Linked DNA regions of Cricetulus griseus. The protein of the gene in region 1 interacts with the protein of each later gene in a biochemical or structural test. Links are inferred from orthologs where the notes say so. Each region holds a gene or a part of one and is shown in the gene's direction. Other genes may lie near its edges.

The links.
Region 2: the proteins of Ehd1 (region 1) and Snap29 form a complex in vitro, tested with the Homo sapiens proteins (2 studies listed by BioGRID). The link is inferred for Cricetulus griseus from reciprocal best matches to the Homo sapiens genes EHD1 and SNAP29.

Annotation. Positions count from the first base shown.
Region 1 is NC_048596.1:53,077,210-53,081,505, reverse strand, and holds the start of Ehd1 (EH domain-containing protein 1), read left to right. Parts: upstream 1-1,292; 5' UTR 1,293-1,405; coding exon 1,406-1,809; intron 1,810-4,296. UniProt on the Homo sapiens protein: ATP- and membrane-binding protein that controls membrane reorganization/tubulation upon ATP hydrolysis. In vitro causes vesiculation of endocytic membranes. Acts in early endocytic membrane fusion and membrane trafficking of recycling endosomes.
Region 2 is NC_048597.1:71,895,014-71,898,826, reverse strand, and holds part of Snap29 (synaptosomal-associated protein 29), read left to right. Parts: intron 1-3,132; coding exon 3,133-3,329; intron 3,330-3,813. UniProt on the Homo sapiens protein: SNAREs, soluble N-ethylmaleimide-sensitive factor-attachment protein receptors, are essential proteins for fusion of cellular membranes.

The DNA of each region.
Region 1 (4,296 bases):
AATCCTACCAATAAATATTTTGTCCTTTTTTTTTTTTTTTTTTTTTTTTTTTTTAAGGCAGTATCTGTTGCCCCTGCTGGTCTCATATTGTTGGGCTCAAGTAATCCTCCAACCTCAGCTCACCAAACAGCTGAGACCAGAGGTGTGTATCAACCAGTACTGACTCCCCAGGTTCATTTTAGACTTCTCCAACAGCCCTTAGATGCTCCTTCCACTTAGGTGACCTGATACTGGTTACCTAACAATCACAGTCCCCAAATCTCTGACATCACCCACTGAAAATTCTCACCAGCAGAGACAGCCAAGGGGGCCTAGGTGTGGCCAGGGATGATGGTGGGGACATGAGGCCCGTGGGACAGCCACCCACTGGTAAGGAGGTTGGGACTCAAGAGAACCGAACAAAAGATGGGACTGGTGGTGTCCCTGACAGGAAAGCGGAAGTTTTTGGGCTTTTGATTTCCCCTAAGTTCCCACAACATTTCATTGTTGCCCAACATGTCCCCTCTTCCTCACAAGGGGAATTTCCGATTTCACTTCCTCAAAATTCAAGCAGCCAGAAAGCCTCAACTTCTTTACCCCATTCTGAGGGTAGAACCTCTTCGGTGAGACCTTGGCCTCTCCCCGCCAGGTCATATTATTTGTGTCCTTTGCTGGGTCCCTCTCTCACCGCATTCCGTCTCCTTCCTTACCGATTTTTCTCTTCCCGTTGTCCTCTACTGCCTCAGCTTTCCCTATTCCCGCTGTCCTGTCTCTCTCTCCCCAGAGGCGCTAAAAGACTTAAGGGGTGAGGAGTGTGTGTGAGGTAGGGAAACGGGAGACGAGGCAGCGCCCGGGCTCCCGATGCTTTTGGGGTTCCGAGTGGGTGGAAGCACTATAGTTGGGGAGCACAGCCGAGGTGTCTGGGGTGTCCTGGAGTCCACCGATGCTGGAGGATGCTCAGGCTAAGTACATCTCGGTGCTAGACTCTGGCTCGGCCAACAGCAGGACTTCCGCTAGCCACTCCTCGAGGGGCTGAGCAAAACAGGTGCGGTTGCCAGGGCACCGCAGCCACGGGCTCGCGAGATTTGAAATCAGCCAATGGGAAGCAGGGGAAGACGTGGCACGCGAGTAGGGCAGGACCTGGGGGACTCTTTTCCCCGCCCCCTCCCCGGCGGGCCCTGAGGCGGCCCGAGCGCCGGGCTCCGGCCTATAAAGGGGCCGCTCCGCGCGGCTCGCGCGGCTCTCGGCAGAGGGCGCTCTGGTGATCTGCGCGCCGGTCCGCGAGCCTGCGCCTGCGCAGTGTGGGCCGCGCCCCGCCCCCTGCCCCGCTGCCCTCCGCCGGCCGGCCGGCCCCTCCTCGGCCGCGAGCCCTCGTCCCGCTCAGCCGCCGCTCCGTCCCTCAGCAGCCAGCTCGGTCTCCGGCAGCATGTTCAGCTGGGTGAGCAAGGATGCCCGCCGCAAGAAGGAGCCGGAGCTCTTCCAGACGGTGGCCGAGGGGCTGCGGCAGCTGTACGCGCAGAAGCTGCTGCCTCTGGAGGAGCACTATCGCTTCCACGAGTTCCACTCGCCCGCGCTGGAGGACGCTGACTTCGACAACAAGCCCATGGTGCTCCTGGTCGGCCAGTACAGCACCGGCAAGACCACCTTCATCCGCCACCTGATCGAGCAGGACTTCCCGGGGATGCGCATCGGGCCGGAGCCCACCACCGACTCCTTCATCGCGGTCATGCACGGCCCCACCGAGGGCGTGGTGCCGGGCAACGCGCTGGTCGTCGACCCGCGGCGCCCCTTCCGCAAGCTCAACGCCTTCGGCAACGCCTTCCTCAACAGGTACCTACCCCTTCTTTCCAGGCGCGAGGACCACCGTGGACCCCCGCAGCCTTTGCCCCGATGGCCTTTGTCTCCAAGAGCCCCCGCCAGACCCCAGGCGACCACTCCCAGGGACTGTGGCCTGGTTGCGACCCAGTGACCACCCAGGTGTCGGGTAATAGGCATCGTCCACTCTTCTGGCTTCTGTCAACCCCAGAATCTTCCAGGTCATCAATTTAACTCTTTCCCCTTACCGCCGCTGACCCCAGACCTTCTCATAGAGCTCCCGGGGCCGCCGTAGGAAGATGAGCCCTTGCTGTCCTCCCTTTCTTGTTCCTCATTCTGGAGACACCCAATTCATTCTCATCAGTCGCCCTCCTTCGCTGGAGTATGCTTTTTAAGTGTCATGGGAAAACCTGAGACTTAGATGTTCCCTTCGCTGGTGTGTCTCACTCTCTGCTTCATATCCCCAGGGGACCGGTGGGAGGCAGCCCCCATTGAAGGCAGGGGAGGACAGAGTCTCAACATCTCTCCCCACAGCAGCACTGAAGTGAATTCCTGGCCAGCCAGGGGTACATGAGACGATTTAATGAGTCAGTGCTGCCTCAAGAGATTTCAGGGGGTGGTAACCCTGAGACCCTGAAATGACAGACTCCTGCATTTCACTATAGAGTTGATAGGTGTTTATGTGCCTCACTTGAGTCTCAGTTTCACCAGTTGAAGGGGTGAGGCAAGATTTAGCTCCTTAGGACGCTATGTATGGATCCCAGTGACCTGCCTGTCTGAAGGGCTCTAACACCCAGGATCACTTGTGTAAAGGAGGTAGTCTGGCATCCTAGCCTTCACCCACAAAAGGCATGACAGGACTCACAGAGCCTGCCCTCCGTGCTCCCTCTTTCAAGGAGTGACTCTACATGCCTTTCGAAGTCTGCATTCAGCCTGGGGGAACAGCCTAGGAAAGAATCTGAATTCTGCTTTCCAGGTCTCCGCCCTATATGAGCACATTCCTCTACAGACACTGTCCAGCAGGACAGGGCGGGCCAGCTTGTTCTAGAGCAAGCTGCCAGGCCTGCCTCCTGCACGGAACTGACCTTTAATGTTGTCTGTTTGTCCCTTCTAGGCAATTTCAGCTTGTCTTGTTTTCTGATGATGGTGTTTGCTTGACAGGCCTGTTGAGTACAATGCTCTGGTACCCTTAGCCTGAATGGAGCCTTTCCCTAGGGCTTTGCTGTACCTGTAGGTAGGGCATTGGCTGTTGATGGGAGCCATTGGTCTGGTGAGAAGTTTGGCTACTGGGCCAAGGAGTTCATTCATGCATTACGTCTATGCTTCAGGAGTGATAGGAGCCTTCTCCTGTGAGCCTTCACTGTTCCAACTACTTTAGCCTATGTCTTTACCTCATTGTGAGGGCAGATCTTTCAAACAAGGAACTTGGCACCTGCTCAGTTTCCCACCTTTGGAAATGCAGAGCTGAAGAGCAGAGCGATCTTGCACCCCGTCCACTCCCAGCTCAATACCTCACGAAACCCAGGCCCTGCTGAACTGTCAGATGGTCTGTTCTTTGTGCTTTGTGCACTCACTGCTACTGCTCCCATAAAGGAACAACAGAGGAACCCTTGGCAAAGGACAGGCACTTTGGTAACTTGGGGTCCATGGCATCTAAGAACTATACTTATATTTCCTTCTTGTAACCACCCCAATTCCAGAGGGTCTCTAAAAATGCTGGTGCAGTCCAAGACCGGAGCTGTGTCAGGATGTTCAGACCATGGTGCCTCTGGCCAGGGAGGGCACAACAAAGGGGGCTTTTCTCTGGCTGATACAGCTTTGCCTGGCACTCTTAAAGGGACTCACTGAGTCATGAACTTGACTTGCTAGCCTTTTTCTCCTGAGTGCTCCTCAGAGATAGTGAGAGGAACAGATGGAGGCAGACATGAAGGAATCCCGAGTGGTTTGTGAATGCTCCTCCTTGCATAACTGGACCCACCCACTTGTCCTAAGAACTGAATTCTCTGTCCTGGTTGCCAAGGGAAGCATTTGTACTGCCCCCTGCCTTTCTTGCTGTACACTTAACAGGCCCTGCCGATGCTCCTTTGGGGCCCTTTTGTGTGTGTTACTTCTCAGAGCCAGCTCCACTTCCACTCCTTTTTTTTTTTTTTTTTTTTTTTTTTAATTTAATTTTCCTTGTCACTCTCTCTCCATTGAGTATAGGAATTTATTCCCAGCAAGAAGAAACTCAGGACTGGCAAGCAGTGACTTACAGCAGTAGGGTCTGATGCATTTGGAAACAGTACCTTTCACATTGTCCCCCAGCCTGTGGGAGTGTGGGGCCACAGGAGACACTTCATCTGCCTGAGTGCTGCCCACTGTAGGCAGGGCAGTTTGGAGCCTGTCTCTGGCAGACAATGGGTCTGTATTTTCTTTGCTCATAATAGAGAGGTATTTATTTATTTATTTATTAGTTTTTCAAGACAGGGTTTCTCTGTGGCTTTGGAGGCTGTCCTGGAACTA
Region 2 (3,813 bases), on another chromosome or scaffold:
CAGTTTGATAGTAGCATGCTTGCCCAGCATGCATGACATCCCTAATTAAATCCCCAGGAGGGAGAGCCTTATAAAAACTGTGGAGGTGGCTCAGTGGTTAAAGGCAAGAGCATGTGTTGCTCTTGTAGCAGACCTGAGTTTGGTTCCCAGCACTGTATCAGACTGTTCATAGACATCTATAACTTCAGCTCCAGGGGATCTGACACCTGTCTCAGTGAGCACCTACGGTTATGTATACACACACACACACACACACACACACAACCAAAATTAAAGATTTTTTAAAAATCTCTGAATTTGAGACCAGCCTGATCTATATAGCCTGTTTCTAGGCCAGCCGAGCTACATAGTGAGATCCTGTCTCAAAACAAAGAAAAGTCTTCAATATCTTCAATATTAATTTTTAATTATGTGTATGTGTGTATCTCTGTGTGGGTATGTGCACATGAGTGCAGGGGCCCTCAGAGGCATCAGAGATAATTCTGGAACAGGAGTTACAGATTGTTGTAAGCCACTCAACATGGGTTCTGAGAATTGAACTCTGGTCTTCGGCAAGAGCAATGTTCTTTTTTTTTTTTTTAGATTTATTTATTTATTATGTATACAGTGTTCTGCCTGCATATATGCTTGCACACCAGAAGAGGTACCAGATCTCCTCTCACAGATGACTGTGAGCCCCCATGTGGTTGCTGGGAATTGAACTCATGACCTCTGGAAGAACAGTCAGTGGTCTTAACCTCTGAGCCATCTCTCCAGCCCAAGAGCAATGTTCTTATCCATCAAGCTGTCCATCTAGCTCAGACTTCAATATCTTAGGCATCAGCAGAAGTGTAGATTAAAACTACTTTGAGATTCAGAAATCAGAATGGCTATCATCATAAAGACGGACGACAACAAATGCTGGCAAGATGTGGGAGAGGAGCACCATTCACTGTGTTGGGAGTGTAACTAAGTGCTGTAGCCACCATGGGGTCCGTGTGGAGACCCTCCACACAACCTAGAAATAGAATGTGGTCTAGCTGTATGTTCCTGGGTGTATATCCAAAGGCTTCCATGTTTATTTTCAAAATAGCAAAGGCATGGAACTGGCCTGGATGTGTGTAGAGACTGAAGAGGTTGTTTAGTAGTTAAGAGTACTTGTTCCTCTTGTAGAAGACCCAGGTTCAGTTCCCAGCATGTATATGGTAGCTCATAGCCATCCATAATTCCAGTTCCAGGGGATCTGATGCCCTTCTCTGACCTGTATAGGCAACAGGCACATATGTGGTGCACATACATACATTCAGGCAAAACACTCATATGCATAAAATATATCTAAAAAAATTCTAATGGATAAATGAAACATGAAAATATGGTACATATTCATAGTGAAATTTTATTCAACCATAGAGAATTTATGAAATTTGTAGGAAAATAATATGGAATTAGAAAGTATTACATTAAGTGTGGTAATCCAGGCTCAGAAAGACAAACATCTCCATGTTCTCACTTATTCATAAACAAATCCTGGTTTCCTTTTTCTTCTCTCCCTCTCCCCCCCCCACCTTGTTTGATTGGTTGTTTTGTTGTTTGTGTGTTTGTTTTTGTTTTTGAGACAGGCTCTGTCTATGTAGCTCTGAATATCCTGAAACTCTCTCTGTGGACTAGGCTGACCTCGATTCAGAGATCTGCTTGCCTCTGCCTCCTGAGTGCTGGGGTTAAAGTGTATACCACCATGCAACATGTAAAACATGTCCATTTAAGTGGGAACAAGTGTAGGCAGAGTCCATGAAACTTGAAAGGCCCATAAGTTTGGGAGTGTGGCTTTAAAATAGGTGGGGAGGATCTTGGAACTTGTAATGTCTAAGTGGAAGGAGGAATGGGGTGGGGGAGCTTCAGGGTACGGTAGGGACGAAGGAGAGCAGGGAAGTCAATCAAAAGTGTGTATGAAAATGGCATGGATGCGAGATGGTGGCACGTACCACCAGAGGGAGTTACAGGAAAGCCATAGCTGTTACACAGAGAAACCTTGTCTCAAAAAACCAAAAGGAAAAAAAAATGGCATAAAGATGGACCGGTAGGCTGAATCAATTCTGAGTTCCATTCTCAGGACCTATACAGTAAAAGGAGAGAAGTGACCTCTCTCAAGTCATTGTCTGACCTCACATGTGATCCCCATTCCTCAGCCAAAATAATAAGTAAATAATTTTAATCTTTTTTTGTCTTTGAAGATTTTTTATTTGAATTAGAAACAAGATTGTTTTACATGACAATCCCAGTTCCCTTCTCCCTCCCATCCTCCCCTACCACCCCTCCCAACTAAAACCCTACCTATCACATATCCTTTCTGCTCCCCCTGGATGGTGAAGCCTCCCATAGGGTATCATCAGAGTCTATCATATCCTTTGGGATAGGGCCTAGGCCCACCCGAGTGTGTCTTGGCTCAGGGAGTATTCCTCTATGTGGAATGGGCTCCCAAAGTCCACACCTATGCTAGGGATAAGTACTGAACTACTATCAGACTGGGAAGCAAGAGTTCCCCGATGTTCAGGTCAGCTGTTTCTGTGGGTTTCACCAGCCTGGTCTGGACCCTTTTGCTCTTCACTAGTCCTTGTCTGCATCTGGATTCCAGTTCAGTTCAGTGATTAGTTGTGGGTGTCTGCTTCTACTTCCACCTTTTTTTTTTTTTTAAACAAGGTCTCTCTATGTAGCTTTGGTTGGCCTAGAAGTCTGGGGTGGGGAATATTACAAGGAAGCCTGTTACTTTGTATGCTAACCGTTTAGAAAAGGACAGAAGCATCCCTGGCCCTGTTGGAAACCAGACAAAGCGTAGACCTGCCTAGAAGTCACACCAGCCCACCTAGACTGTTTTTTAAGACTGGGTCTCACCTGGCCCCCAAGCTTGCCTCAAAATCACTCTATAGCGAAATATAACATTAAGTTAATCCTCCTGCCTCCACCTCCCAGTTTGTGTGATTACAGGTATGCGTGACTATGCCTGGTTGATGGAGTGCTAAGGATCCCCCCCAGGATTTTGTGCATGCCAGATAAGCGCTCTACCCAATTGAGCTACATTCCTAGCCCCAGACTTTCATTTGCTATGATTTGAAATTGGGGGAATGATATGATGCCACTGCTTCTTGCCTTCTGCAGGAGCTGGTCCGGCAGCGAGGAGTCCTAGAACACACGGAGAAGATGGTAGACAAGATGGATCAGGATTTGAAGATGAGCCAGAAACATATCAATAGCATTAAGAGTGTATTTGGAGGATTTATCAACTACTTCAAATCCAAACCAGTAGAGACTCCACCTGAACAAAATGGCAGCATTGCCCCGCAGCCCAACAGCAGGTGAGTATAGTATCCACAGTCTGGACCTATAAAAACAACAGAAACAGGTTCCAAAGGTCCTGAGTTCAATTCCTGGCAACCACATGGTGACTCACAACCATCTGTAATGAGACCTGGTGCCCTCTTCTGGCGTGAAGAGACACATGCAGGCAGAATACTGTATACATAACAAATAAGATAAAATAAAATAAAATAAAATAAAATAAAATAAAATAAAATAAAATAAAAAAGAGCACTGGCTGCTCTTCCAGAGGACCTGCGTTCAATTACCAGCAACCATATGGTGACTCTAGTGCCCTCTTCTGGCCTGCAGGCACACATGCAGGCAGAATACTATATACATTAAAAATGTATATACAAGAATTGGGTATTTGTTAAAATCAGTGACCTTCATTCATACCTCAGGACATTTTTGCTTTATGTTGTTTTGTTTTAAGGTGGTTTTTTAATTTGATTTTTAAATTTTGTGTGTGTTTGGTGGGGG